7 linked regions of the Mus musculus genome follow. The protein of the gene in region 5 purifies or fractionates together with the protein of the main gene of each other region. This does not show direct contact. Links are inferred from orthologs where the notes say so. Each region holds a gene or a part of one and is shown on either strand. Other genes may lie near its edges.

The links.
Region 1: the proteins of Anapc4 (region 5) and Anapc1 purify together in Homo sapiens (co-purification; 13 studies listed by BioGRID and IntAct, with this or other methods). This does not show direct contact. The link is inferred for Mus musculus from reciprocal best matches to the Homo sapiens genes ANAPC4 and ANAPC1.
Region 2: the proteins of Anapc4 (region 5) and Mad2l1 purify together in Homo sapiens (affinity purification with western blotting; 14 studies listed by BioGRID and IntAct, with this or other methods). This does not show direct contact. The link is inferred for Mus musculus from reciprocal best matches to the Homo sapiens genes ANAPC4 and MAD2L1.
Region 3: the proteins of Anapc4 (region 5) and Ccna2 purify together in Homo sapiens (affinity purification with western blotting; 3 studies listed by BioGRID). This does not show direct contact. The link is inferred for Mus musculus from reciprocal best matches to the Homo sapiens genes ANAPC4 and CCNA2.
Region 4: the proteins of Anapc4 (region 5) and Anapc15 purify together in Homo sapiens (affinity purification with mass spectrometry; 10 studies listed by BioGRID and IntAct, with this or other methods). This does not show direct contact. The link is inferred for Mus musculus from reciprocal best matches to the Homo sapiens genes ANAPC4 and ANAPC15.
Region 6: the proteins of Anapc4 (region 5) and Anapc16 purify together in Homo sapiens (co-immunoprecipitation; 10 studies listed by BioGRID and IntAct, with this or other methods). This does not show direct contact. The link is inferred for Mus musculus from reciprocal best matches to the Homo sapiens genes ANAPC4 and ANAPC16.
Region 7: the proteins of Anapc4 (region 5) and Anapc7 purify together in Homo sapiens (affinity purification with western blotting; 14 studies listed by BioGRID and IntAct, with this or other methods). This does not show direct contact. The link is inferred for Mus musculus from reciprocal best matches to the Homo sapiens genes ANAPC4 and ANAPC7.

Annotation. Positions count from the first base shown.
Region 1 is NC_000068.7:128,684,071-128,688,714, forward strand, and holds the start of Anapc1 (anaphase-promoting complex subunit 1), read right to left. Parts: upstream 3,326-4,644; 5' UTR 3,083-3,325; intron 1,991-3,082; 5' UTR 1,967-1,990; coding exon 1,754-1,966; intron 594-1,753; coding exon 432-593; intron 1-431. UniProt on the Homo sapiens protein: Component of the anaphase promoting complex/cyclosome (APC/C), a cell cycle-regulated E3 ubiquitin ligase that controls progression through mitosis and the G1 phase of the cell cycle.
Region 2 is NC_000072.6:66,538,118-66,542,029, forward strand, and holds the end of Mad2l1 (mitotic spindle assembly checkpoint protein MAD2A), read left to right. Parts: intron 1-847; coding exon 848-951; intron 952-1,653; coding exon 1,654-1,826; 3' UTR 1,827-1,833; exon of another isoform or gene 1,834-2,308; 3' UTR 2,309-2,990; downstream 2,991-3,912. UniProt on the Homo sapiens protein: Component of the spindle-assembly checkpoint that prevents the onset of anaphase until all chromosomes are properly aligned at the metaphase plate.
Region 3 is NC_000069.6:36,564,248-36,567,609, reverse strand, and holds the end of Ccna2 (cyclin-A2), read left to right. Parts: intron 1-496; coding exon 497-610; intron 611-935; coding exon 936-1,069; intron 1,070-1,327; coding exon 1,328-1,376; 3' UTR 1,377-2,102; coding exon of another isoform or gene 2,103-2,181; 3' UTR 2,182-2,313; coding exon of another isoform or gene 2,314-2,392; 3' UTR 2,393-2,745; downstream 2,746-3,362. Other genes in the region: Exosc9 (exosome complex component RRP45), read right to left, coding at 2,103-2,181, 2,314-2,392. UniProt on the Homo sapiens protein: Cyclin which controls both the G1/S and the G2/M transition phases of the cell cycle. Functions through the formation of specific serine/threonine protein kinase holoenzyme complexes with the cyclin-dependent protein kinases CDK1 or CDK2.
Region 4 is NC_000073.6:101,894,817-101,899,556, reverse strand, and holds Anapc15 (anaphase-promoting complex subunit 15), read right to left. Parts: upstream 3,227-4,740; 5' UTR 3,107-3,226; intron 3,096-3,106; exon of another isoform or gene 2,197-3,095; intron 1,825-2,196; coding exon of another isoform or gene 1,770-1,824; 5' UTR 1,763-1,769; coding exon 1,740-1,762; intron 1,616-1,739; coding exon 1,486-1,615; intron 1,004-1,485; coding exon 944-1,003; intron 658-943; coding exon 520-657; intron 364-519; coding exon 316-363; 3' UTR 12-315; downstream 1-11. UniProt on the Homo sapiens protein: Component of the anaphase promoting complex/cyclosome (APC/C), a cell cycle-regulated E3 ubiquitin ligase that controls progression through mitosis and the G1 phase of the cell cycle.
Region 5 is NC_000071.6:52,847,462-52,851,486, reverse strand, and holds part of Anapc4 (anaphase-promoting complex subunit 4), read right to left. Parts: intron 3,497-4,025; coding exon 3,432-3,496; intron 2,894-3,431; coding exon 2,851-2,893; intron 2,733-2,850; coding exon 2,656-2,732; intron 1,030-2,655; coding exon 929-1,029; intron 845-928; coding exon 793-844; intron 1-792. UniProt on the Homo sapiens protein: Component of the anaphase promoting complex/cyclosome (APC/C), a cell cycle-regulated E3 ubiquitin ligase that controls progression through mitosis and the G1 phase of the cell cycle.
Region 6 is NC_000076.6:59,992,883-59,996,907, reverse strand, and holds part of Anapc16 (anaphase-promoting complex subunit 16), read left to right. Parts: intron 1-293; coding exon of another isoform or gene 294-318; coding exon 319-460; intron 461-4,025. UniProt on the Homo sapiens protein: Component of the anaphase promoting complex/cyclosome (APC/C), a cell cycle-regulated E3 ubiquitin ligase that controls progression through mitosis and the G1 phase of the cell cycle.
Region 7 is NC_000071.6:122,425,057-122,429,081, reverse strand, and holds part of Anapc7 (anaphase-promoting complex subunit 7), read right to left. Parts: intron 952-4,025; coding exon 765-951; intron 1-764. UniProt on the Homo sapiens protein: Component of the anaphase promoting complex/cyclosome (APC/C), a cell cycle-regulated E3 ubiquitin ligase that controls progression through mitosis and the G1 phase of the cell cycle.

The sequences.
Region 1 (4,644 bases), on a different chromosome or scaffold from region 5:
GCTGAATAAACCCTTTCCTCCCCAACCTGCTTCTTGGTCATGATGTTTACACAGGAATAGAAACCCTGACTAAGACAACTAAGCAAAGAATAATGTGAAGAATGTGATAAGATTCTGGAAAGATGACTCAGGAATTAAAGGCTAGGCTCATAACCAAAAAATATAGAATGTGATAAGCCAAACACGGTGATAGGTGCCTGTCATATTCAGAGGCTGGGGCAGGGGGATCTCAAATACCAGTCCAGCCTGGGCTACAGAGACACTGTCATGATGGATAAAATGAAAATCTTACTTTCCTGCCAGACATAATGTACAACCAGCTGCTACAATTGTTACACTGTTGTTGTCATTTGTTATCATTTTAAAACTCAAACTTCTTTTCCAAACAGCTATATTAACAGTTGTTTGCTGTGCAAACTCAGTAAACTCACCTGCTGGACAGTGCTGTCCACTGTGAACGCTTTGTACACTGCCAGTGCCTGGCTTTTACTCCCTTTGCTCCAGATAACCATGTTCCCAGCCACATAGAGCTCTTCATCGTAGTCAGCTGCATCTCCAATCTCACTCACACCTTTTCTTAACTGCCAGCTTTCCTTAAAAATTAACACACAGGACATGCTCAGCACTTCTTCTTTTTCAGTAGTTTGAAGCAAGATTTGCCTGTAAATTAAGACTCAACCCAAGACTAACTCCTACAAGGATTGCAATACATAGGTGAGCACAATGAGTGAATTAGCAAAGTGGGCACATTACATCACGGGACTCTTGAGATAAGTTAAGAGAGGTAGGAGAGATGGCTCTGTGGTTAAGAGCACTGGCTGCTCTTCTAAAGACTGGGGTTTGATTCTCAGCACCTACACAACTGTCTATAACTTCAGTTCCAAGAGATCTGAGCCCTCTTCTGGCCCACATGGCCACTACACACACATGGTGCACAGACATACAAGCAGGCAGGTTTTTTAAAAACTGACTCAAAAATTCTCTATAAGAAGTACTTTATTTTATACTTCTATGTTCCTAGTATTGCTCTGCCAATAACGCAGGCACACAAAAAGTATCTCTTACATATAGAGTATAAGATAAAACCCATGCTTGAAGGGAAACTAAAAGTAGGTATTAAATGTATGTAGAAGGCATAAAATAGACAGGTGCACATAGGACTCAATGGGGGGACTTCCTTGCTTCACAGCTGCAAATATATTATTTATCTTCTTCCCCTTGTCCCACACATAAGATGAATAGAAGCTAAAAAGTTTCTGATTTCTATCTATCTATGTACATTCCAAGAGATTTAATTTCAAAGGCAAATACAAAGACTAGGTAAAGCAGAAGAGAGGGGCAGCTTAAACCTCCACGGTCAGTCTGGGCTACTGACTAAGGTCCACCTCAAAATAGAAAGTACTACTATGCTAACACCCTTATGTGACATCAACCCTCTTCTAGAAACATGTGTTGCAGGTACCACTTCTAACCTCTGGCATTTAGTCACCAAAGAGTATAAAACCTGATTACCCACATCTGAAGTGAGGATAAAGTTTAAAATGAGCCATGATTAAAGTACTCAACTCTCATTACAAGTTACACAGCATGCCTATGTAGGCAGCACCATATTTCAGCACTGACTGAAATGACCAAACATTAGCTTTTAACCAAGTGCCAACATACACTTATTTCTCACATGCATATAGGCAGCTTTATATTAGCACGGTATTCATTCTAAATTTCAAAAGTATGATGAGAATCTTAATAAAACCTTCTGTTTCTCATGGATTGTAACCTCCTGAAGAGATCCCACCAAGCCAGCTGCACCATCAGAAGACCATAACTCAGAGGCTGGCTGCAGCTGACGAAGCTGAAGGTTCAGAGCGTTAGGGTGGTGCTTGCAGTGGTCTCGGCCAAAAGGAACAAATTCCTGCAAATCCCCGGCTGCAATCATCGTTGCCCTTTCTTCAGAGAAGTTCGACATGGGTTCCAAATATGAACATTATTTCTGTGTGAATCCAAACGCATTCTTGTCAGCCTTCTAGTCAAAACTAAGTTATTACTACAGAGACCCGAGTGGAGCTAGGTCAGAAACATGGGGATCCACCTCACAGACATTTCGACACACGGCATGTAAAGATAACTAACATTCAAACATTCTGTGGCATAGTATGTGCCTTTTTGTCTCTGAGGAAACCTCTACAACAGCATTTGTTAGCAGCACTATAACCCTCAGTGTTTGAAATGGCACTTAAGAATAACAACTGCTAACTAAATTTGACTTGAAGCTCTCATCTAAAGTCTTGTTGGCATCATTTTTTTTAACAATCTGAAAGCCTCTAGTTTATACGAAGCCCTCTATAGCTACAAAATCTTCCTTGCTGTGACTTAAACGTCATTCCTGAAATGATTACGCCAAAAAACAGGCCCAAGTTTCTTTTTCACCTCCTAGAAATAAAATCAATATTGAGAACAGAACTTGAAAAACACATATGCCTTATGAAAAGTAGGGGCTTATCAAAATGTGGCTGGCCTTTCCAAATTCTATTCAACAAAGCAGTCAACATTAAAGAACTTGCAACTTTACCCGACGTTTCCTCATGCAAACATGCAATGTCATTCCCTTTTAGCTTAAAACGAACCTACAGGATAACTTTTTATAGCATCATTTTCTCAGTTAGATGCCTTTTAACCCAAAGACATCATACTTAATACTTTTACAGTTCTCCAAAAGTTGTTAAACGTGTTATTCGTTACAGGCCACATAAAAGCATTGAGTTGACATGCTAGAAATAAAACTGTCATTACTGGTTACTAGGAACATATGCAAACAGCGGGACCCTGAGCTGGGTCTCTACAAAAACAGGCTTTCCGTGCTTTTGAGTGAACCGCGCCACGGCGTAGCGGCCGGAGCATCGGCTCATGGCGCGTCGGGCCAACCCGGAAAGCCCAGTCTGATACTGGGGTTCCTCTCACCCCAGCAGGAGCTCAAGGCCAGCCCCGGGGCGCTCAGCCCTTGGGGCACCCGGTGCAGCGAAATTCCAACACCAAGTCGCAGCGATGCGCGACCCGGCCCGGCCCGACCCGGCCCGGCCCGCACCTGAATAACTCGGGACGCGTCAGGCGCTTGCGAGCCCCGGCTGCTCCCCGGAGGCACAAGGGCCGCGAAGGCCCGAGAGCAGCGACAGGACCGTCACGATGACTCCTCACCGCCCCAGTTTCTCATCCCTTTTCCCTCCCGGATGCCGGAGGAAGAATGGGCGGCAGCGGGACACCAAAGACTTGCGAACAACTCAAATGGCTGGAGCCATCTTGGATTTCCCGACCTGCCTCGCGCCAGGGCAGAGCCAGGCTGGGGACGCGCGGCAGCGGAGAGGACCTAGCGCCTGCGCAGTTGAAAAAGGTGTCTGTGCAAGTGCCTATAGCGAAGGCGGTCACTTAACGACGTTACCTCTTTAACAAACCAAATCTCTAAGATCCTGAACTACCTTCTCAATTGAGCTAAGTTAGGTAATTTTTTTTCCCAGCTGGTTGAGTTTCCTTCTCATCTCAAAAGGGGATGTGTGCCTCCTGGCTGATGAATGGGAGCGGAAGGGAGACCACTCATTTTCTCAGGATTGCATGGAAAATTCTCTACCCGGAAATCACACACCCCCACCCAAGATGGGCTTTAGTCCGTTAACTGTTCGTCATCGCTAAGAAAAAAAAAAAAAAAAAAAAAAAAATGGTGAGGCCTATCATAGCCTAAAGAATAAAGAGTTCCAGTCCATTTCTTTGCTCCAAAATTCAGTTTGTTGGAATTTGATAACTTCACTGTAATTGTCTATTGTGATACACATTTATTTTAGTTCATTCTCATCCCTTTTCTTGGAACGCCATCCTTCAGAGCTTGAAGCTGCACTGCAACAGGAAGGCTTGCTCTTAGAACTTGGTGAGCGGAATGCCTGCTTAGCTGAAATTCGCTTGCCTGGATAATCAAAAACAGTCAAATTAACACATATTCCACATGCTCTGCTCCGACCTCTTGATTCCTCCCCGCAAAACCTCCCTATCCTACAAAGGCCTTTCTATCACACACTAGGCTATCTGGAAGAACAAACAGAAGAAAACCCAACAAGGAGCACACGTAAGTGGCCTGTCAATCTCACTGCTTCCATTCTCTACCCTCTACCTCTTGCCCCATCACACAGTTTGTCTACAACCCCATCAACCCTACCAGGAGTCACTTGGACTAGGATACCCCACTCTCCACTGTGTTCTGAGCAACCAAGCCATTGTCATTCTCCTTGAGTCTATGATATCTTCTGCCACTGCCAGCCTAGGATGAGGGAGATGGGGATTGCCTTCTGAAGAGGCCGTACTTAGAAACCCAAACCGATAGGGAACAAACTGGTCGGTGAATGAAAACAAGGACGTGACCACTCCTAGATATGGTTGAGGAGGTTTTTATTGTAGATATTGAGGAATTGGGAGGAGTTGGGCTACAGCTCTTCTCTGCCGGGTGTCCTTGGTAAAATTACAATTATCGCATCTCTGGTTGTAAGGTATAGAAACAAAATGGCTTTTTGCTGGCTATAGAGAACAAAGAGCTTCTTTCCAGCTGTATTTTTAGAGATCAGGGAAAACAAACTTGGGGGAATGTTTTAGGGGCTTTACCTCCCA
Region 2 (3,912 bases), on a different chromosome or scaffold from region 5:
TACCTGAACCTCTCACAATATAATATATGTGGGCCATGTAATCACTGGCTTAAACGTACAGGAGATGATCCTAGACTCATTCCTAATTTAGATGAAGCTCTACTGTACTTCCCCTATTGCCGTGAACTTTGTAAACTAAAGATTGCAAGCACTCTACATCAGAAATGCCTATCATGCTAAGCATGTGCTTCTGGAAGGTACTGTAATGAAGAGCAGTTTGTTTCTGAAGTCTTCAATCTATAGGAAGTCGTTAGCTTATAAAAACATTTGTATGTAATTTATTTTACCTGATTCAATCAGGAATCCGGTATTTAGATGTTACCTTTAAAAAAAAAAGTCAAAATTTAGGCTGGAGAAATGGCTCAGTGGTTGGGAGCACTGGCTACTTTTCTAGAGGACCCAGGTTCAGTTTCCAGCAGCCACATGGCAGCCCACAACTCTGTTTAACTCCAGTTTCAGGGGATCCCCGGCAACAGGTATGCATGTGGTGCACATAAATGTGCATGTGGGCAAAATACCAAAGTTCTACCAAGTTAATTTGTTGGAATCCATTTTCCTTTATGTTAAAGACTTACTGAAAATATGCTTACTGAGAGTGGTTGGGAAACTTACCATGCACAGAAGGACCAGATACTAAGATCAGCCTTAAAGAATGATGGGAAGGACAGATACAGTAACCCAAGAATATCTTTAGCCATTAATCTTTAGTCTCCTAATGTATTGCATCTGTGTTGTTGGAAGCATTTTGTTCAGAGAGAGTTACCAACGTGTTTTAATTAACTTAATGAAACCTAGAAGGAGTTATTTCTTTGATTTTTTTTTTTTTTTTTTTTTTTTTTTTTTATAGTGTTCGTAGAGAAAAGTCCCAGAAAGCCATACAGGATGAAATTCGCTCAGTGATTAGACAGATTACAGCTACTGTGACATTTCTGCCACTGTTGGAAGTTTCTTGTAAGTATTGTACAACTTAACTTAAATTTGCTGGAGAAAATGTTCATTACCGTTAGGAGGAGCCTACATTTGTTAAATCTCTTAATTTATCATTGCCTTGTAACATAAATGGGATATGGGAAGCAGAATACAGCACAAATAAAAACATGCATATCTGAAAACTGTGGAGACAAGGACTGGGGGGATGGCTCAGTGGTTAAATACTTGCTGAGCAACTGTAAGGACCTGAGTTAGGATTCCCATCACCAGGATCCTCCAGATGGTTGTGATGGCTCACCTATAACTCCAGCCAGAGAGGCAGGAATAGGCTCATCAGAGCAATCTGGCTCCCAGAACTATCCACGTTGGCCAGCTCTCGGTCTGCTTCGTCAATAAAGTGAAAGCACAGCTGTTAATTTGGAGACTCCGCCTGTGTGTTCATACATACACACTCAAGAAAATGAAGAAAAACATGAAAACCCTAAAAAACAGAAGTATACAACAATACTTTTGAAATTTTTCTCACAGTTTTACTACTTTTATTTTCTACTAGGAAGTATAATGCTCCGTTCTACACCCAGTTTCTATCAAGTAAAAGATTCATTAGACCAGGCTAAGCTACCTTTCTAGCAAGAGGTGGTTCAAAGTGAGGCCCAGTGAGAGAGAGGCAGGGAGGAGACTTCACTATTGAACAGCTTTCCTTTACTCCCATTCCCAACGTAGGTTCCTTTGATCTGCTGATTTACACTGACAAAGACTTGGTGGTACCTGAAAAGTGGGAAGAATCGGGACCGCAATTTATTACCAATTGTGAAGAAGTCCGTCTACGCTCATTTACAACCACAATCCATAAAGTGAATAGTATGGTGGCCTACAAAACCCCTGTCAATGACTGACGAGACGGTGAGGAAAAGGATGGAATTGTCATTCCCAAGTGTGCTTTTCCAGAAATTAAGTCAAATAGAGTTGCTACATTTCCTTGTTTAATTTTCCGGTGAAGAAAGCTAAGATCCGACATTGATAAATGTGTGTTATTGTTCCATTTCTTGGGTTCTTCCTGGACTTGTCTGAGTCGACAAGAGTGCTGCACATTGTTAAGGGGAATCAACAGATTTTGTTAGCATTGTGGAATGAATTCCTTTAAAAATGGTCATTGTACATAGAAAAACTTCTGTTAAAACGCTAACTACTTCCCTTAACATTGTAACTGGACCAGGATATAAAGAAGCGTTTAAATGTAAACACAGCAGAAGGGATCAAAGCTTTTTTAGTTCTGAGGGTCAGTCAGGAATGTTGCCAATCCGGATCCAGTGAGAGAGGCAGGGAGGACAGCTTTACTATTCAAAAGTTCTGTACTTTACTCTCATTCCCAACTTAGGTTCGTTTGGTCTGCTGATTTACACTGACAAAGATTTGGTGGTGCCTGAAACGAGGGAAGAATCAGGACCCCAGTTTATTACCAGTTCTGAAGAAATCCGTCTACACTGATTTACAACCACAAGCCACAAAGGGAATAGTATTGTGGCCTACAAAACCCCATCAATGAAGAGACGGTACACATACCATCCCCCATCACATTATACCTTCTGCTGTATTTATATTTAGATGCTTCTTTATATCTTGGTCAAGATTCTTCTGAGCAAAATCATTAGACAAAGTATTTAGCTTTTTAAAAGAAGTTTTTCTACCTACAGTGACCATTGTTAAAGGAATCCATCCCACAGTGAATCTGTTGGCTCCCTTAATAACGTGTAGCACTCTTGCTGATTCTGTGGTAAGTTCAGGAAGAACCCACGAAATGCAGCAGTAAGACACATTTCTCTTTATATAGACCCCATATTGAAATACATGCTAATTATTTGATTTTGTTGTATATATCTTGAGCTCACAAAGCAGTTGATGCTGTTTAATTTCTGTAATAAAGAACTCTTATTTTAATGTTTTATAAAAATCAAGCTTTAAAAGTCAGTGATACAAAAAAATTAAGCCTTGTGTTTTAAATTTGTGTTACAGTATCTTTGATATTTAGTTTGGTGCTAATATAGTCAGATACTTCAGTGGATTGAGTGGATGGATTGTGTTCATTTTGATTATGTGATGGGGATGGTTTTGTGCACTGGAAATTCAGATGCTGATTGCTGTGCTCAGAGATCTTGTTGTAATCTGGATATTGGCAGTTGCAGTCCTTGTTATAATAGTAGGCCAGGCCAGCATAGCCGGGTCAGAACACATGAGAACACTGCCCAGTTAGCACAAGAAGCTTGTAATAAAAATACCATGTCTGTATCATTTATTTGGGAACAAGGGTGGTACAGAAAAGCCTCCAAAATTACTTTTACATTTTGTAGGGCTTTATTAACCAATCAGACATGGTGGAAACCAATCTTTACACATTGAGCTAGGTGATGCTTCAAATACCATGACAATGCCAACTTCCAGACTGCAACCAGATCTCAGCATAGCACACAGTCCACAAGACCATCCCCAAACAACTACGTACCACCTTTTTCATCACAACAGTACAGTTAATGTGAAGACGCAAATGCCCTCTGAAATTAGTTCAAATATTAGGCTGTGTTGTCAGCCTTGTGTTTCTTATGATCTTGAGCACCATGCTTAATCCTTTGCATCATTGCTACTCTTAATAGATGTGTTGGTTCTAATTTTCCAACATTTAGATTTTTCCAGAAAAGTGACAGCTTTGTTTATAGTAATTTTGAGGTTCTAAAATATCTCTGAATTTTGTAAATCACATTCTTATAAGTTGACCATATGCCTGAAAACATTTCATACCTCTTAGAGATTTTATACTATTTACACATTTTAAAGTCAAGGAGTCAGACTGAGTTTTTTTGGAAGTGAGTTGGAAATATTTGGCCTATAATTCCAAATAGATGTGTGCTTTCTTTGAGGATTGTCTTGGGACAAAGATAATTCCATCTAATCACCAAAAGATTTGTGATCAGTACCGAATCCGTGGGA
Region 3 (3,362 bases), on a different chromosome or scaffold from region 5:
GCTATGGCCCTCTCTACCTGTGGGCTCTGCACTTATGGTATAATAAACAGGCATTAAACGTAGCTGCCCATGTACTGGATAAGCACACACCAATCATATGTGTATTGTCTATTTTGTTTTACAAGTAATTCAGTGATATTCTATGTATATAGCATTAACTTATGAAAATAGCATGCATCTTTTATATGTAAGAGATTTAAGTATCTAGTGTCCATGGATAGGGGCTGAGAGGTTCAGGAGAGAACTTCCCAATGAATACACAAAAGTGACCATGCTGGAAAGGCGCTAACTAGTGGCTTAAAGAGAACAACCTAGTATATTAGGGGAGAGAAATGTAAGCTGAGAATAGAGGAAAACATTGAAATAATTTTCCCAGGGCTGATACAGAACCAGTGAGATCCAAGACAATGGAAACTGGTCAGGAAGCAAGGATTCAAAATCTTGAGTCTTATGTGTGATTATAAAAGTTGGGGTTTTGTTTTGTTTTTTATTTCAGTTTTTGGGAGAACTGAGTTTGATAGATGCTGACCCGTACCTTAAGTACCTGCCTTCACTCATTGCTGGAGCTGCCTTCCACTTGGCTCTCTACACAGTCACAGGACAGAGCTGGGTGTGTATTACCAGTTGCCTTCTCCAGTATGGGTGCCGCTTTGATTTGGGCTGAAAGCTTAGCTGTAAAGGTGCACTGAAAGCTCTGCTTCAAGAATCTGAGCCTTCCACCTGCTGCAAGCAGGGGAAGTAAACAGCCAAAATAAAAGATGGAGTGAGTGAGCTGAAACAGGGGGGACACCCTGAGTGAAGAATTGAGGAGGGAGCAACATTTAGAAATAACAAAACATCCTGTCAATGATTAGTGCCAATATTTAGATCAACTGTGAGCTTGTGGTCAGTGCCCTGTGCTGTTACAAAAAACTCAATGGTTGTCCCTTCCCTAGCCTGAGTCATTGGCACAACAGACTGGATATACCCTGGAGAGTCTTAAGCCTTGTCTTGTGGACCTTCACCAGACCTACCTCAAAGCGCCACAACATGCCCAACAGTCAATACGGGAAAAGTACAAGCATTCAAAGTAAGAATCCAATTCTTGTTGAATACAGTAACCTGCCACTACCTCAGTTGGCTCTTAAGTCATGTATTAGGAAGCTTTTGTGCCTTTGCTTCTGGTAAGAGAAGGGTAAGGGGGCAGATGTATGTGCTCTACGTATCAAATGTTTTTAAATTCATAATCAAGTAAAAGTAGCATTTCTCCAGTCTTGGGGTACATGAATTGTTCTGTAATCTCCCCAATGAATGTTTACTAAAAGTTTTTTTTTTCTCTGCTCAACAGATATCACAGTGTTTCTCTTCTCAACCCACCAGAGACACTAAGTGTGTGAGTGAAAGACTGCCGGCTTTGTTTGAAACAGGAGTCGCTCGGAGTCCATGCTGTACAGTTTTTATGTCGGGTTTTAGTTTCACAATCACTTCTGAATGTAGATGGTATAGCCACAGACAAATTATGGTATCCATTGCTTTTAAAATGGTTTTAATTTGTATATCTTTTGTACATGTGTCTATTTGGATAATTTTAATTGGTTAACATTGGTGCTGCCAACTGTCAAGATATTGAGAATAAACTGATTTGGAAATCTTTGCAAGTCAAAGTTAATCTGAGATAAAAATATGAATGATGTCGTTTAGAAACTAACTTGATTTGTTTTATTGTACAGTGGGGAGTAGGAAAAGATTTTATAAAACTAAAATATTTCAGGGAAAAAGACCTTCAAATTCTGGCATTGATTGATTATTCTAAGCAACCAAACCAAACTGCTGACTTGTTCATAAATAACCAAAAGTAGACAAACTGTTTTCAATGTAGCAGAACTCATTCGGCTCTCAGATGTTACAGTAGTTTATGGAGACATTTTATTTATCAACTTTAACAAATAAGGTCTTACATGAGTTGGGAAGCTTGTGCAACAGAAAAGTTTTCCAGAAAGTTTATTCAAAGCATAATGTTAAAGACAAACAGTGTATCAAGAAGTTCAGCTTGTAAGATACCCAGAGCTGTTAGCACTGAGTATGTATACACACACACACACACAGAGATCCACCACTTTAGCTTAGTTAGCAGTTCTCTTCTTCTTCTTCCTTTTCCCTTGGCCTTTACTTGGTGCCTTCTGGTTTGCACTGGTCTGAGCTCTGTGAATGAAGTAATATAACAGCTCACTGTATCCCATCTGTCCTGGATTGGGTCACTGGGACTCTGAAAGGTGCCCCATTTTATAGAACCAGCTTTTAATGTATATTTGAAAGAGGCCAGAAATTTGTTACCTTATTTTCTTTGGGTTCTTCTCTGGCTCCAAAATAATCATTTCTTCTTCTTCACTATCTGATAGCACTATAGGGGCACCTTTGGAAAAGTCCAAAAAAGGAGTTTACTGCTTAAGCACATCAGAGGTCCTAACGCTCCCATCTCCAGGCTAAGGGAGCTCCCAAGCTCTACTGCCCGGAGGCTGACACTCTTTCCGAATCTTACCCTGTTCTAAGTAAGTAGCTCCTTGCAGCTCTGAAAATTTGTAAAAATTGATGTTTTCTATAAACTCTTTCTTTCCTTTTTCCCCAGAGGACATGTAGGCCAGAATGCTCTAATTCTTGCTACCAGGACTGCCCATGAAAAATGTAGAAAACTGCTTTGTTTGCCCATTTTTCTCTTGAACAGTAATTATATATGTGTGTAAATAAAGCATGCAAATTAACCCTTTACCCATTTGGTGGGCTGTGTGTTGTCTCATCTTTATTCACATGTTTTAGGAAAGCTCTACCTTCTTCACTGTCCTACTTATTTTAGGTCCACTTTCATTGCTCAGGGTTCTTAAAACCACAAACAAAAAGCCTCTATGAAAAGAGATATACAAGTGCAAAGATATACTAGCACCGTAATAGTGAGAAGATAAGAAAAAGCATTACTGATGATTAAACCAACTGGATGATTCTCTATGCAGCATTTAATAGTCCTAATTAATTAGGATCTTTAATTTACTCATTTATCTGGTTAAACCAACATTGTTCCCCTGCCAAAACAATACCACCAAAAGGCTGTAAGTAGCAATTCCCTTCTGTTAACAGTGCATACTGCTATGAGTTCAGGGAATAGCACTCACATGGGGGCAGCTCACAATTGCCTGCAACTCCAGATTTGATGCCTGACTCTAGCCTTCAAGGCACTCATTTCATACATAGGTAGCACACATTTAGTGACGTCTTTAAAAGCATGTACCTACAAAAGAACCAGAGTTTGGTTCCTGGCATCCATACTGAGCTGCTCACAACTTCCTGGGACTCCAGCAAGTTCCTCTGAACTCCCTATGCATGCCCTGGCA
Region 4 (4,740 bases), on a different chromosome or scaffold from region 5:
GGGAATAGACATTGGGGAAACAATCAGTCCTGTGTCTTTATTAAAGAGGGCTAGAAAGGGACCACACCTGGCAACCAAGGAGTGAGGTACCAGCCAGGAAGGTGGGATGGGCTCAGGCTCTTGGGATTCAAGGGAAGACTCATGGCCTGGAAGGGCCCAAGGAGACCTTGTCCTGGCAGTAGCTGAGAAAGTGCCTAAGGGAAAGCTTTAGGCACTACAGCCACAAGCTGGTTCTGCAGGCTGAGGGGCTGAGGCTGTAGATTCAAAATAGGTTGGGGTGGTCTGGAATCACTGAGGCCACCTTGGCTTGTCTACCTAGATCATCCACTGGTCCTGATCCTGTTCGTTGCCTTCCATGTCCACCTGAAGAGGAGGCTGGGTGTGGGTGGGGAGGAGCCTCAGCCAGCCTCAGCCCAGATCCTGCCCCTGGGTACAGCCAGGGTTTCTGTATGCCTTGGCCATCAATTAGATCAGGGGCAGGAGCCTAGGAACAAAGGCACTCCCCTACACCCCGCCTACCTCATTGACCTCTCCATCATCAGGTGACTCATTATAGTCATTCATCTCATCCATGTCTTGCATGTCCTCATCATCTTCGGAATCCTCTTCACTGTCCTCATCATCTTCATCATCCTCTTCTTCCTCATCATCGTAGTGCTGGTAGAGCAGAAAGATTCTGTAGGCCTCAGGGCGCCTGGACCAGGTCAAGAGCTGGCCAACTTGGAGCTTCCACCTTCCCAACCTTGCCTGCCTTGAGTCTGGCAGGCTGCTGCATGACCTGAAGGTCCTTAGTACTAGGCACAATGCATAGCCCCTCAGGTTCCCACGTTTTCTGTCTTCCCAGATTGAAAACCACAATTGTACTGAGCCAAAAGTAAGGCCATTAAAGTAAAGCCTTGTTCTACTGGGCTTCACATAGGCCCCACCCACAGGAACCACTCACCTCTGAGGCCGGCTTGCCAATTGGTACCAGGTTGTTGTCTTTCTCTGCGATGCTTTGGAGCTGTGGGCAAAGGAGTAGGGGGGAAAGTAGGGCCAAGGCACAAGCAGGGCAGGTCAGGGGCATTGGACTGGCTTCCCCTACCCCTGAAGAGACCCCAAATGTTGAAACAAAGCTTCTCCCCCCAGTTCTCAGGAAGATGCAATCTCTCTCCTGTCATCTGTTCCTTATAAAATTGATAGACATATGGAAAGTCTTTGGGCCTCTGTTTTTTTTTTTCATATAATTCTGGTGAAAGTGAAATTATTAAGTTCTGTGATGTATAGAAAAGATCCTAGGCTGTCAGGGGCTTGACATCTATCTAATCTACCCCCGAAATCCTATGGTCCCTCAGCGAGTTAGGGTGCCACAAAATAAGAACTTTATCCCCCAAAACTCAGCTTGACTATTCCCCACAGAGGAACCTTTTTCTAAGCAGGTCTCCAGCGTAAGGCAAGCTCACGGCCCGGTGGTAGACCTCCATGCTGCACTGGGTCCTCACTCACCCAGGCCTGATGCTGCTGCTCCTGCTGCTGCAGCTCTGTCTCCTCCACACAGGGTCGGTCCAGATTAAACCACAGTGTCTCAGTCACACGAGGGAAGAGTGACGGGAACAAGGTGGACATGGCTCCTAAGCTGAGGGAAAGGGTCACGTGAATATGTTTTGTTTTGTTTTGATGCAGTTGAAATTTGATTTAGGGATAGGGTGGATTGGGTGGGTAGCAGAGAAGCTGCCCTGCCCTCTTGAAATCAGACAGACCTGAGTTTGAGTCCTGGCTCCATCACTTACTAGCTCTTTGATTTTGGCCAATACACTTAACCTCTCTGGGCCTCAGTTTCCTCATCTGTAAGAATGGGGATAATTAAAATTATATCATCCTCAGTTATTACGACAAACAAAGAAAATAATGAGTAAAGCTGTATGTTGCTTAAAGAGAGAAGAGACTGGGAGCCAGAGATGGAATGTGGCATTGTGATTATGCACAAGATTAGCAATAGCAGAGATCTAGTAAAATTCATTTTAAATACACACACACACACGCACCACAAAACTTATTTTTTGCTCTTTTGATTCATGTCACATCCAACCAGTGCAAAATGGTGTGGACATGAACCACCTCTCTCACCAACCAGTCAAACTGCAGTACACACAACCAAGGATAAAAGAAATTCTCAGAGGGATGAGTAAATAACAAACAAATGAAGAATGAACTAACATGGAAGAGAACAAAATCAACTCTGTGGGCTGAAGCTGCTGACCAGGAAGGTCACCAAGAAGCTGAACTAAAACGCCCTGGCTCACAAACCCAGTGACATGTAGAGCTTGACTTTGGCCACACACTCGATGGGGGCTTAAATCCTACGCAAGGCAGGGATCCTGGCCCAGCACTGTAGGAAGGGCACAGGAAAAAATAGAGTTGGTGTCTACCTTGGTGTTTCCCCCTATTTTTAGTAAATGAAACAGGGTTACAATATTTAGCCCTGACTGTCGTGGAATTCTCTATATAGACCAGGCTAGTCCCAAACTCACAGAGCTCCGCATGCCTCAGCCCCCGGATGCTGGGATTAAAGGCGTATACCAGCCCCCACACCCGGCCCTACTCTAGCTTTTGTTCCAACTTAATTTGACCCACGCAGAACTAGACGCTGTCATTCCCTAGACCAAAGCCCCCCCAGGTCCGTGTGATGGGGGAAAAAAAAAAAGGCGCGTCCACCACGATCCCGAAAGCACTGACAGATTTTATATACTAAAATTCTACCCACCACCGCCCATTCTTTGCTCATTATGATAATGACTGCGAGATTGACCAACAGGAAGGAGGCAGGGGCGGGTCTCCGTCAGGATTTTGACCTTATAGGGATGCTAATCGCAAAATGCGCGCGGCCTGGCCGAAGCCAATTAACTGCAAGAAATGCTGGGTGACAGGAAGTGAAACCAATGCATGACGGACCATGTGCGATGGGTGGGGCTTAGACTCTAGGAAACGGCCAGTGAGCAGGATGTCTTTAAGAGTAAAAATGGGGAAAATGAACTGCTAGGGAAGCGAGTCAAAGGAACTGGGTTTCTCTGGAAGCCGGAAGAAAGAACAAGCAAGGAAACGGCAGCAGTCTCGTTTCCGCACTTACCGCGCCAAGAGCCGGCAGCCGGCGGCGACCCGGAAGCGTTTCCCCAGGTCTGAGCGGAAGAACCCACCAGAATCCGGGACTCACTAACGCATGCGTCTTGCGTCTCCTTTTGTTTCCCGCTTCAACACCGAGCCGGAAGTGATGTTGATGTACTTTAGTTACGTACTAGTTGGGGGAGGACCCTCGCTTGCCCCGCCTACCTGTCAGCTCCTCCTTGAATCTCCAGCGGCAGGGTTTCTCCAGGCTAGCCCCTCGCCTGCGTTCGACTAGTCCCGCCCTCCTGCCACTCGGCGGTGTTTGCGTGTTAATCTCCTCGAAATAGTATGGTTTCCAGAAATGTTCGCTTGTGTGGATGCCGTGTGTGCTGCTGCGTTCCAAGAAACATCTGTTTCTTCCCTTCTGTTCTCTCAGACTCGGTTTTCTGTTTGAACCCTTCTCCTCCTCCTCCTCCTCCTCCTCCTCCTCCTCCTCCTCCTCCTCCAACTCCTCCAAGATCTATTTATTATATGTAAGTACACTGTAATTGTTTTTCAGACGCACCAGAAGAGGGCATCAAATCTCGTTACGGATGGTTGTGAGCCACCATGTTGCTGGGATTTGAACTCGGGACTTTTGGAAGAGAAGTCAATGCTTTTAAGCGCTGAACCATCTCACCAGCCCCTCTTTTCTTCTTTTTTAATTTTGGTTTCTCGAGACAGGGAACTCAGAAATCCACCTGCCTCTGCCTCTGCCTCTGCCTCTGCCTCTGCCTCTGCCTCTGCCTCTCTGCCTCCCAAATGCTGGGATGAAAGGCATTCGCCAGCACTGCCCGGCATCCATTCTTTTCTTTCTGAGAGGATACCTTGAACATGCTAGACAAGCCTCTGTCATGGAACTACATCATATTCATAATATTTACTTTTCTTTTTTGAGACAAGGTTTCATTGCGTATTCCTAACTGGCCTGAAATTCACTATCTAGACCAGGTTGGCTTCGAAGTCTTCCTGTTGGTATTAAAGCTGTGTAACACCACGCTGGCCTCTTTTTTATCTATTTAAAATTTTATCTTATGTATATGTGTGTTTGAACATCGTGTGTGTGTGTGTGTGTGTGTGTGTGTGTGTGTGTATGCATGTGTATGTATGTGTAGGCCCAAGAGTGATGCTGGGAATTTTCCTCAATTGCTCTTCTATCTTATTCTTATTCAATACCACAAGTCCCTGCTATCGCTGGTCTGACTATCCAGGTTCTCTGAGAATTCTCTGTCTTTACAGAAATTACAGGCTGGTTGCCATAACCATCCAGCAATCATGTGGGTTCTGAGGACCCAAACACCAATCCTGGCTTCTTTTACAACAAGCACTTTAACCCCTAAGGTATCTCCCCAGGCCTGTACATTCTTTGTCTACGCTGTTTCTTCTGTAACTAGCATGATAATCTGCCTGGTTTTCCTCCTGTTCTTGGCTCTGGTGAAGAGTGATGAGATAGAACTGTTCAAGAGGTTCCGTATGTGCTTCCTATCAAATCTGATTGTATGGCCCAAGAGGTCAGCTTCAGCTTCAAACGTTTTCAAACGTTAGCAAGCTCTGCTTATTAAAATTGTAGCACTCAGGGACCTGAGACAAGAGGATGTGAAGTTCAAGATTAGACTGGGC
Region 5 (4,025 bases):
CAATGCTTTGAAAGTTCTAGGAGAAATTATTTCTTCAGATCCTAAGTCCCCAAAACCATCAATTTTATATGAAGGTAAGAAAGAGTTGGGGAAGTTTACCTTCAACATCTGCTTTCTGAGTAAGTTACTTTAGAATATGCTATCCTGAATGAATATGCTAGGGCGCCTAATACAGGAAAGCAAGACGGACAGTGCCTTTGTACACAGCGAGACAGGGAAGTGAAGCACAAAGCACAGAAGGAGCAGGTGCAGGGTAAAGGGACAACCTGTGGGACAGAGGATGGCTAGACGGATGGAGCAGCACCCTTCAGAAAGACAAGCCAGGCAAAGGTGTGCTAGAGACGGACAGTACAGACAACAAGAGAGTCTAAGGGGAGGGAGGTGGGGAGCACAGAACACTGTGCCTGCAGCATTTGCAAGGCTCAAAGTTTCAGGCCAGCCTGGGTACAAAGGGAGTCCCTTACACAACATAACACAACACAACACCACAACGTAACGCAATAAGACAAGGCCAACAGTGTTCAGGAAAATCAAGACAAAAAATAAATAAAACAAAACTGGTAGGTACAAGAAATAAAATTAGCTTTTAGGAGAATAAAGAAAGTGAACAGAAAGAGACACAGGAGTTAGAATGAGGATGAAGATGGAGAGACCAGAAAATAAAGTTTTTCATTAAATGATCTCTGTGCTACTGACTTATTCTGATAAAAATTTGTCTTAAGAGATTCAGGTTCTTATTTAAGTAAAAAGTAATATTCTCATAGCCACACTCCTGGTTAGCACATGACTTACTGGAGAAGTTCGTTTGCTTTGAGGATGAAAGAACCCACAGCAGTAATAGCATCTAAAGAAAAACAGACAAAAAAGGGTCACTTGTTGAGTAAGTGAACTGTATCTAGTGTAGTCTATGGAGAAATTCAATCAATACCTTCAATGCCTGCAGCATCCAGTCCTAGAGGTTCGTATTTTTGTTTCCATGAAGCCATTCCTTTAAGTTCACTCAAATGATACAGTAAAGACTCAGAGCCACTAGCAAAAGAGCAGAGATAAGTACCATTACTATCACCAAGGTGGTAGTCAACAATCACTTGCTGATTTCAGAAAACCAAACAAATCTTAATAATCTTTCCACAGAAAAGATTTACCCAAGCTATTTCGAAGAATCATTTGTGCATCATGACAACTGAGATGAAAACAAGACTACCAGATTAGATTCTCTATCACGGTCAGACTTCGTGCAGTGCTTGTCAAGCTCTCTATCCACTGAGCTGCACCTCCAGTCCTAACCCTGGCACTTTACCATGTGGACATTTGTTCACTAATAGACACTTTTGTTTAAAGGACAGGCTCTTACTATCTAGTCCTGACTGGCCTAGAACTGTGCAAACCAGGCTGGCCTCTAGCTCACAGAAATCCACCTGCTTCTATGTCCTGGGTGCTGGGAATAAAGACATAAGACACCAGCCTGTCTTCACATATATTTTTAAGCTCTGACTTTATGTCAGATACCAGGGACTGGGGACATAGTGGGAAATAACGGTAAGGTCCTTGAAGCATTTAGTGTAATAAGGGAGTTAGTTACAACCAGTCATGCAGTACATCTTCCTAACTACCCACCCTAAGGGACTTGAGGGAAATGCACAGGTGAAATAGAAGACCCTGATCTATTCTAGGAACTGCTGAAGGCTTCTCTGAAGACGCAAAGAGCTAAAGAACTCAGGTAAAGAGAAGATGAGAGTGTTCCAAAAAGAAAGGAAGGTTATGTAAATCCTTGGGTGGAACTGGGGATGTAACTCAATAGTAGAGTTTGTTTATGCAACTTGCCCAAGACTCTACATTCCATTCCCAGCATCATTATTAATAAATGAACAAACAAATCAAAGATATTTAAAAAAAAAAATAGGGTAGGGGAGAGAAAAAAAAAGCCTTGAGTGGAAGATACAATATCAAGCTTGGGAAAACAAAAGGTATCTAGCATGGGTAAAGCAGAAGCAGACATGCTCAAGGCTTTGAAAAAAGCAAAGGTACTGCACGTTTTTTAAGTAACATTACACTCAGTGGAGAAAGGGAAAGAAACAGACACGGTACAGTATGGAACAGACCAAAGCAGAAGGTACTCAGCAAGCTCAGGGGACTGTGGGTATTTCTAGAAACCCAGCATAAGAGTTGTCAAAATACAAACCAAACAGTCAGCAGCCACTTATAAACTGCTTCACTCAAGTTACTGTGCACAGAAACAGCAGGAGACCTGGAGAACCCAGGAGCGAGCCTCGGCCTAGTACTGAAACACTGGGCCAGCCACATAGCTAACTCTTGTGTGAAACCAAGATGACAAGAACAAACTGCCAAGATATTAAATGAAAAAATACGTACAATATTAGAAGCTATGTGGCTTATTTTATAGTTAAATAAGAAAAAAAGGCCAAATACTCAAAAAGTTCAGCCTGGTTAAAAGAATTAGAAAAGTATTTTCACAAAAACAATTGTCATTACCGACTTCAATCTTGGGTATGCCAAGTTCCCTAAAATGCCAATGCAAATAGCTAGAAAAGGCTTGAAAAGACAATGTCAAACAGTGGAGAGAGGAAGCAGAAATATGACCAAAGCCGTGTATGTATGAATGCAGTATCAAAAAATTCTACATCACTTCCATACCTCTGTAAGTGACTTATAACCAGTTTTTGTATACTGGAATATGATGACTCTATAGACTGGCCAAGCTTTTTTAAGCCCTAATTAAAAGAAGAAAATACATTTAGCATGTAACTATGATACTATATGTCATTCCCAAAAAAGACCACTATTAAAAATGTGTTCACAGCCACTTAAACATATAGACTTTAACAGCACCTTCACTGTTAACTGGTTCATCAGGAGAGTCTGAAGTTCAGCACTGCAACAAAAAAGAAAGTATTTTAGTAATCTTTCCATTCAAACTCTGAATGTGCCATTTAAAACCTAAATTTCAAAGTACAAACAGGATTTTGGAACAAAATAATCATGAAGAAACAGCACCGGTCAAATGAGGACTGGACTGTGTTTATCCACAAAGAGACAGAAATGTCACAGTAAAGTCCAGAAATAAACCAATTATACACTTCTAAACATCAAGAAGGGATCACTGACTAGTACCCTGGAGAGTTATTTACCCAAGGTGCCAGAAGAAAAAGATTGTCTTGGCTACATAAAAGTTCTGGAATTTTATACATCCAATATACATACGCACATTCATACTTATATATACATACCAAATGATCGCATGTATATAAAAAGTTCATAGAAAATCCCCAAAACTGACATACATTTCTGGGGGCGAGGTCTTCTACCGGAATTTTGTATTTTATCTTTATAAAGGCAATAACTACCTTTGAGTAATTACTGTCAAGAGAAGAAGGGAAAGAGTCAGGGTGGGATCGTCCACGTGCGCTCACCTGGCTTTCCCCCACAGCAGCAAGTGCATGAACTCATCCTGCACTGACGTGGTTGTAGGTTTTTCCTAGATAAAATTTAAAAATTACATATTTATATTCATAAATATACTTATATTTATTTATATATTTAGTATATTTATATTATAATAAACATAAGCATATTTATTCAAAGTTATAGGGACATAATTTTAGTACAGCTCCACCCAGCTGTACCAAAGGGGAAACAAAGAGTCTGCCACAGTTTGGATGTGGCTTGTCCCCAGGGTCTCTCTGCTGAAGGCTTGCCCTTAAGGTGATGACACTGACATGGTAGGCTCTTTAAGTAGTAGCTGAGGATGGAAGGTGGCGAGTCAGTGAGAAGAAATGAAGTTGACACTCTGGGAACACTGGTTAGTTCTTCCAAGAGTGGTTGTTAGAAACAAGATTATCCACCCACACCGCCTGGCTTCCTGTGTCAGTGTGACCCCTATTAAACATGCTCTTGCCATGATGACACCTGATGAACCCTCCTCAACAGATGGAAAACAAATGATGCTACATAACCCTCAACTGTCAGAATCTAAAACTAAGAGCTAAAAAAAAATTCCTTTTTGA
Region 6 (4,025 bases), on a different chromosome or scaffold from region 5:
CTTCAGATACACCAGAAGAGGGTGTCAGATCTCATTATGGGTGGTTGTGAACCACCATGTGGTTGCTGGGATTTGAACTCAGGACCTTCAGAAGAGCAATTGGTGCTCTTACCCACTGAGCCATCTCTCCAGCCTGTTTCAAGTGATTTTTAAACATGATTTACTCTAAAACCTAAGTGACATTATAAGACTACCTAAGGCTGGAGGGTAGGGAAAGCTGACCCTACTGGGCCAGAATGAAGTGCGGTCACTCAGGCTTTATAAACTTGCCAATCGCTGTTTCTTTCCTCTAGTGAAGAGAGACTTCTACTGGAGGGAATGGCCGCCTCCTCGTCTTCGTCTTCAGCTGGTGGGGTCAGTGGAAGCTCTGTCACCGGATCTGGTTTCAGTGTGTCCGACCTTGCCCCACCTCGGAAAGCTCTGTTCACCTACCCGAAAGGAGCTGGAGAGATGTTAGAAGGTGATGTCTCTCATGCTGGGTTTCCTTCAGACCTTCAGTTCATGTAGAGTGTAAAGGACCTGGGGCTGGGGGGGGGGGGCTCAGATAGCTCCAAGCCAAAGCCCTTGAGTGACCTGACCAGGGTTGCCACTGGCACCACGTACCCTCTTGGTCTCCTGCAGGTTGCCTCATAACACCTGCTTGATGTATTTTCTCTTTTAGTAAGTATCTACAGATAGACTAATCCCACCAGAGAGGCCTAAAGGGGAAATAAAAGTCAATGTATTTACCTCTGTGAAGGTGACTCTCATGGACCACTGCCGGACATGGCTGTGTGACGGCATGGTTTTTATAGCACTGGAGATAGACTTGGTCTTATCACACAGACTGGCTGGCCAGAACTAGGTCACGGGCAGCAGCCATGAAATGGCATTAGTGACTGGAACGTCTCGGATTCATGTAAACTAGACTGGTAATTCATTGTAGGAGCGTAAGACTCATGTGACACATTTAACTTAAAATGAACATGTCTTGCTGGGCAGATGTATCTCTGAATTCCAAGCCAGCCTCATCTTCATAGTGAGTTCCAGCCAACTAGGGATGTACAATGAGACTCTCTTTTAAGAAAAGAAAAGAAAAAAAAAATTAAATGCACATGTCTGGGCCACTCTACAGATCCTGAATTAGCCTAGGACAGGAAACTGGTTTTTGACCAGTATCTGAGGCCTTCTCATGAAGGAGTCTTCTCATATTTTCAAAATACTGACAAAGAGCCAGGCGTGGTGGCACATTCCTTTAATCCCAGCACTTGGGAGGCAGAGGCAGGCAGATTTCTGAGTTCGAGGCCAGCCTGGTCTACAGAGTGAGTTCTAGAACAGCTAGGGCTATAAAGAGAAACCCTGTCTCAAAAAAACAAAAAAGAAAAAATACTGACAAGGAACCCATTAAGGACTCAAAATTTGCCGGGCGGTGGTGGCGCACGCCTTTAATCCCAGCACTTGGGGGGCAGAGGCAGGCGGATTTCTGAGTTTGAGGCCAGTCTGGTCTACAAAGTGAGTTCCAGGACAGCCAGGACTATACAGAGAAACCCTGTCTTGAAAGAAAAAAAAAAAAAAAAGAAAGAAAAAAGACTCAAAATTCACTGGAGTCAAGCATTTTTGTATTGAATTATAAGATGCTCTTTTTTGCTTTAAATCTTGCATATTTACATGCATATATTTTAAATTAATTGGGTGATATCTCTGAGAAAGGCACAAACTATTCAGGGACTGGCTTTCTAGGGAGATCATTATACATTTATATCAGGTACTTTTAAAAACCCAGTTTCAGGTTAAACTATGCCAAAGCAGTGTTGGGGATTGGATACCCAGTGGCCTCATGCATGGTAGGCAAGCAGGCACTCTTTGACCCGGCTGCATGCCTGGGAGACTCTAGTGCCATAAGGCTCTGGGGTCACTTGCATCTAATTGGTAGAGCAGCCACAGGTGCCGTGTGGTGTGGAAGGCGGTGTGTCAGGCATGTGTACTTTCTGCTTTGCCTTTTTGTTGGTCTCCGTTTGTGTGGATATTCAAGTTGGTATCATCAAGTCTGACTGGAAGTAGAATCTTTGTGTCTGTATTTGGCACTAAAAGTGGATTACAACTGTAGCTCTCTGCAGCAGCGATGTAGTTAAGGAGGCCAGCCACAAAACAAATGGCAAGTTGAAGGCATTTAAATTGCTTAACGAGCTTTATAGAACAGAGAAGAATCCGTGCTTAACACTGCTTCAAGAAAAAAGTGATTCAAGTCCGTCAGAAGCTCATGGTCTAACAGGCCTCTATCTAGACGTTCTCATTACCTCACTGAGGAGTCAATTGGATTCTATCGTATGGTGGATTTACCACGTGTAAATTCATGGTGTAGTTATGGCCTCTCTTAACCAGTTTCCCCAGTAATCTTAAAAGCTGCTTACAATGAAAGACAACTGACTTCGACAAAGCAAGTATCTGACATACTTTTGAATATCAAGAATACAGAAAAGGGGCTGTCTGGTAAAATACAGAAAAGATGGCTCTGCTGGCAAAAGGTACCTGGCACCATGCCTGACCGCCTAAGTATGACTTGTGGCTTTGATGGTGGGAGAAGAGGACTGACTCCCAAAAGTTGTCCTCTGACCTTCCCATGAGGACCCATACATAAGTAATAAATGCCTAGTTAAGAAAATGAAAACACGGGGCTGGTGAGATGGCTCAACAGATAAGAGCACCCGACTGTTCTTCTGAAGGTCCTGAGTTCAATTCCCAGCAACCACATGGTGGCTCACAACCATCCCTAACAAGATCTGGCGCCCTCTTCTGGAGTGTCTGAAGACAGCTACAGTGTACTTACATATAATAAATAAATAAATCTTTAAAAAAAAAAAAAAAAAAAAAAAAAAAAGAAAATGAAAACACCACCATTACCCTCACAGTATCTGCTGGGGCTTGGCTCTGCTTCAGCCTCCTCTCCTACACCACCTCCGACTTCCACACCTGTGCCTCATCTCCATGGATACTGAAGTCAACAGGTGCTCAGTCTCTTCTGTGAAGTGGCATGGTATTTGCATATGAGTTGTGTGTGTCCTTCCATGAAGCACTCCTAAATGTGAGTTGACAGGAATGTCAGATCTCGGGGTGACCCTGTTATAGGTTAATATGCCTGCATCAAAGCCTTTTCTTCTTCGTTGTTGAATTCATTTCGTTTTGAGTCTTGTGTAGTCCAGGCTTGACCTCTGACTCCTTGAGCTTCTTATTCTCCTCCTCCTGCCTCCCAAGTGCTGAGACTACAGACATAGATTATTTATTACTCTGTCTGCTTTATTCCGAGTTGGGGTCCAAGCCCAATGGTGCCAACTGAGCTACATCCCCAGCCCTGTTTTTTTTTTTTTTTTTTTACATTAGTGTAATGGAAGAGGAAAATAGAAACAGAGCACGCTGATGGAAAGCAAGAAACCCCAGTGCTCAGAAGGCTGAGATGGGAGAACTGTTCTGAGTGTGATGATAGCCTGAACTATCTAGAGACTGCCATGCCAGCCTGGGCACAGAGTGAGACTTTATTTTAAAAGGCAGGGGGAGGAGGGCAGGGGCAGCAGAGAGCAAAAGCATTTAAGAATCAAGGTTAGTGGGGCTGAAGAGATGGTTCAGTGGTTAAGCACACTGGCTGCTCTTCCAAAGGTCCTGAGTTCAATTCCCAGCAACATGGTGGCTCACAACCACCTGTAATGGAATCCGATGCCCTCTTCTGGTGTGCATGAAAACAGCACTTGCATATATAAAATAAAGAAATCCTTTAAAAAAAAAAACAAAGGAAGGAAGAAAGAGTCAAGGTTGGGTGTGGGTCATAATCCTAACAGGTTCAACTTGATGTTTGTTGCCTGCCCCTAAATCTAGGATATAAATCCAAACAACCTATGTTTAACCTCTGGGATGAACTTCTTGTTACATCTGCTGTCTGCTAAGAGCAGCATGCAGCAAGATTTAACAGTGTCCTGCCCTCTGCTAGCATTGCTCTCACCCAGCTATTAGTGAGCAAATTAGAGGCTGCCTTCCAGCCCACAAGTGGCTGTATC
Region 7 (4,025 bases), about 70 Mb from region 5:
AAAAAAAAAGAAATGAGAATAAAACCCGGCAGTGGTGGCACACATGTTTAATTGTAGCACTCAGGAGGAAAAGGCAGGGGGATCTCTATGAGTTGGAGAGACCAAGCTCACCTAACCAGGACACAAAGCACCCCAGCAGCATCAGCTGTGAGGGACAGGAGAACCCCAGTATTCATTAATACAAAGATGAAAGAAAAGCAGCACTCGGGAACCATGGAATATCATGTGATAATAACAAAGAATATAGAACTGTTTCATTCTATAACCAACCAGCTCAGTGCTGAAACAAGTACTTCAATCTTGTCTCTTAGTATGTGCATACATACATATACATATACGTATACGCGCTGGAGATGGCTCAGCAGTTGAGAGCACTGGCTGCTCTTCCAGAGGTTCTGAGTTCAATTCCCAGCAACCACATGGTGGCTCACAACCATCTGGAATGGGATTTGATGCCCTCTTCTGGTGTGTCCGAAGATAGTGACAGTGTACTTAAATATATAAAACAAATAACGTACATTTCCTTTAACAAGTAAATAAATAAAAAAAAAACCCAAATAAATAAATCAATAAATATATACACATAGACAGTCACAGGCACGTCAGACGGTGGTGGCCACCCTTTCACGTGGCTCTCTGAATTTGAGGCTAGCCTGGTCTACTTCCAAGACAGCCAAAGCTACATAGAGAAACTCTGCCCCCCAAAAACACAATAAATGACTGACTGAGTGACTGACTGAGTGACTGAGTCTGCTCTTACTCACCTGACTCTGTGGAGTAGATGCAGAATTCCCAGTGGAAGGCCGCACTTTGGAAGTCTTACTTAAGGCTTTCTTCTGCTGTAAAGCCATGGCGTACTTACTCACAGCATTGCGGTACTCCTTATCGTGAAACAGAGAGTCTGCATGATACACCAAGAGCTGGTACTTCTGCGACGGGGAAAACAGCTCACTAGAACATAAAGGAAACAAGTCCTACATGGGTTATTTTGAAAATTAGAAAGAGCACCTTGGTGTACCTAAGCCTACCACAAAAACCTTCTATCACGCCAGCTTGCAAAAAAACATGAATACAGCCGGGCGTGGTGGTGCACACCTTTAATCCCAGCACTGAGGAGGCAGAGGCAGGCGGATTTCTGAGTTCAAGGCCAGCCTGGTCTACAAAGTGAGTTCCAGAGAAACCCTGTCTCGAAAAACCAAAAAGAAAAAAAAATATTCCTTAAATTTAAGTGGCTTAATGAGAGGCACAGCATTTGAACACCATGCAAATATGGCCAAAACATCTAAAACACTATCTTACTGTATTGTGGTTTTGTACAATGTGTGTTTTCTTACTACAGAAGCTAATGATACCTATAAATCAATACAATGAACAAATGGAGAACACAGGCTTTCCTTCCCATTTTTACATCCTTCCATCTTTTCTGGCTTTTTGAGACAGCAGCTCACCTGTAGTCCAGGTAGCCCTGAACTTACAGCAATCTTCCTGCTTCTGCCTTGGAAGTGATGGGTCACAGAATGGACCGCTATGCCTACTCAATAAGACCTCTTAATTTAGTACTGTTTTACATACACCTCTATTATCTTAGGTTAACATCAAATTTTATGGATAATATTGCCAAAGGATAGCAATAATTACAAAAAAGCTAGAGACTCTAGAAAGAAAATTTACCACTCTGAATTATTTCATTGAGAAACTCAACAAAACAGGCTCCTGCAAACTTCAAATACCAAAGAAAAAAGCCAGTAAGAGAACACAATTGGAAAGCCAGAATGGCAGAGTGATAACGGATTAGTCTATCTTAGAGTCATTACTGTGATTTATATGCGTATGTGCACAGGTGCACGCTGCTGCCCAGAAGAGAAGGTTGGACACACACCCCCCTAGGAACTTGACATGCATGCTAAGAAATTCAAGTCCCCTCAAGAGCAGCAAACACTCTTAACTATGGCGCCATTTCATCTCCCCAGGCCCTAAAGGCTCGTTCAATTCTACAGACACAAAGCAAGCTTGCCAGCACTAGAAGCACACTGTCACCTGGACTCTCAGGTGTCTAAAGTCACTGTGTGGGAATCCCATGCTTCAAACAGTCCTCTGCGCTCTCTCTCTATCTCTCTCTGTGTGTGTGTGTGTGTGTGTGTGTGTGCGCGATGGAGCCCAAAGCCTCACAAAGGCTAGGCAAGCCTATCACAGAACTTCAACCTCTAACCTCAAAAAGATGCAATAGTCCTTATAAGCAAGGTTAATGCCGAGACACTGCTTTATTTCCGTCCTGCATGGGGTACCAAGCCAAGGTCTCTGCATGTTAGGTAAGCAGTCCACCCACAGCTTATCGGCAACCCTGGTTACCACTCTTGTGTTTATACCTCCAGTCCCACTCCTTCCCAAATTAAGTAATGGTATATATTTTCCTCTGAAAGGTAAAGAACAGACTGAGACAAGGAAGTCTATAAAAAGGTACTTATTTCATGCTATTATTATTTTGTTTGGGCTTTTTGCTTGTTTCTTTGTTTGTTTGTTTGGAGTCAGGGTCTTACTGTATAGCTCTGGCTGTCCTGGAACTCACTCTATAGACCAGGCTGGCCTCAAACTCGGAGATCCACCTGCCTCTGCCTTCTGAGTGCTGGGATTAAAGGCGTGTGCCATCATGCCTGGCCCAAGTATTTTAAACACAGGGGAAGCCATATGTGGTGGTGTAGATCTTTAATTCACTGAGATTTGGGAGACAGAAGCAGGAAGATCTTTGAGTTCAAAGCCAACTTGGTCTACGTAGCCAGTTCCAGAACAGTTAAGACTATAGACACTGTCTCAAACAAACAAAATGGGAGACAATTTTTTTAAAAAACCAAACAACTAGGTACCACTACCAGGTAGGGTCATATATTCCTGCAATCCTAGCATATGGAAGCAGAGGTAGGAGGACCAGGCATTCAGAAAGCTATCCTTGGGGTCTGGAGAGATGGCTCAGAGGTTAAGAGCTCTGACTGCTCTTCCTGAGGTCCTGAGTTCAATTCCCAACTACCACATGATGGCTCACAACCATCTGTAATGAGATCTGATGTCTTCTGCTGGGGTGTCTGACGACAGCTACAGTGTACTTACATATAATAAATAACAAATCTTTAAAAAAAAAAAGAAAAAGCTATGCTTGGCTACATAATCAATCCAACATCAGCCTGAGTTATGACCCTCTCTCAAAAGGGAAGTTAGAGGGGCTCAGCAGTTAAGAGCACAGGAATTTTGCAGAGGATCCAAGTCTAAATTCCAGCACATACATCGGGCAGTTTACAGCTCTTTGTAACTCCAGCTTACACCTCCAAGGAATCTGATGCCCTCTTCTGGCCTCCAAATGCACCAGGCACATAAACATAAAAACCAAAGTAATTCCAAGTCTATTAGCAGTCAGTCCCGCAGTCAGTCCCTAATGTGACTTCATTTGGTAATCTATAGTACCTTCTTAAAAAATAAGCTGTATTATTATGTATGTGTACTTAGGAACCTGTGTACAGGTACATACAACAAAATCATTCAAAAGAGTCAAATGGGCCGGGCGTGGTGGCACACGCCTTTGATCCCAGCACTGGGGGGGTGGGGGGGTGGGGGGGCAGAGGCAGGTGGTTTTCTGAGTTTGAGGCCAGCCTGGTCTACAGAGTGAGTTCCAGGACACCCAGGGCTACACAGAGAAACCCTGTCTCGAAAAACCAAAAAAAAAAAAAAAAAAAAAAAAGTCAAATGGGATAGATGGAGTCCATAATCTCAGAACTTGAAGGTAGGAGCAGGAGGATCAGGGGTTCAAGGTCAGCCTCAGCTTCACGAAGACCGGTGTGCTGGCTCAATCATCATTTAATTCCGACACTGTGGAGTCAGAGGCAAGTGGATCTCTGAGTTCCAGGACGGCCAGGGCTACACAGTGAAGCTGTGAGGTGGGAAAAACAGAGGCAAGCAAAGTACTGCTTCCTCGGTTTTGAACCTGACCCAACCACCATCCTTCTCCAGAGAGCACTGCTTTTCATGTATCACTCCAG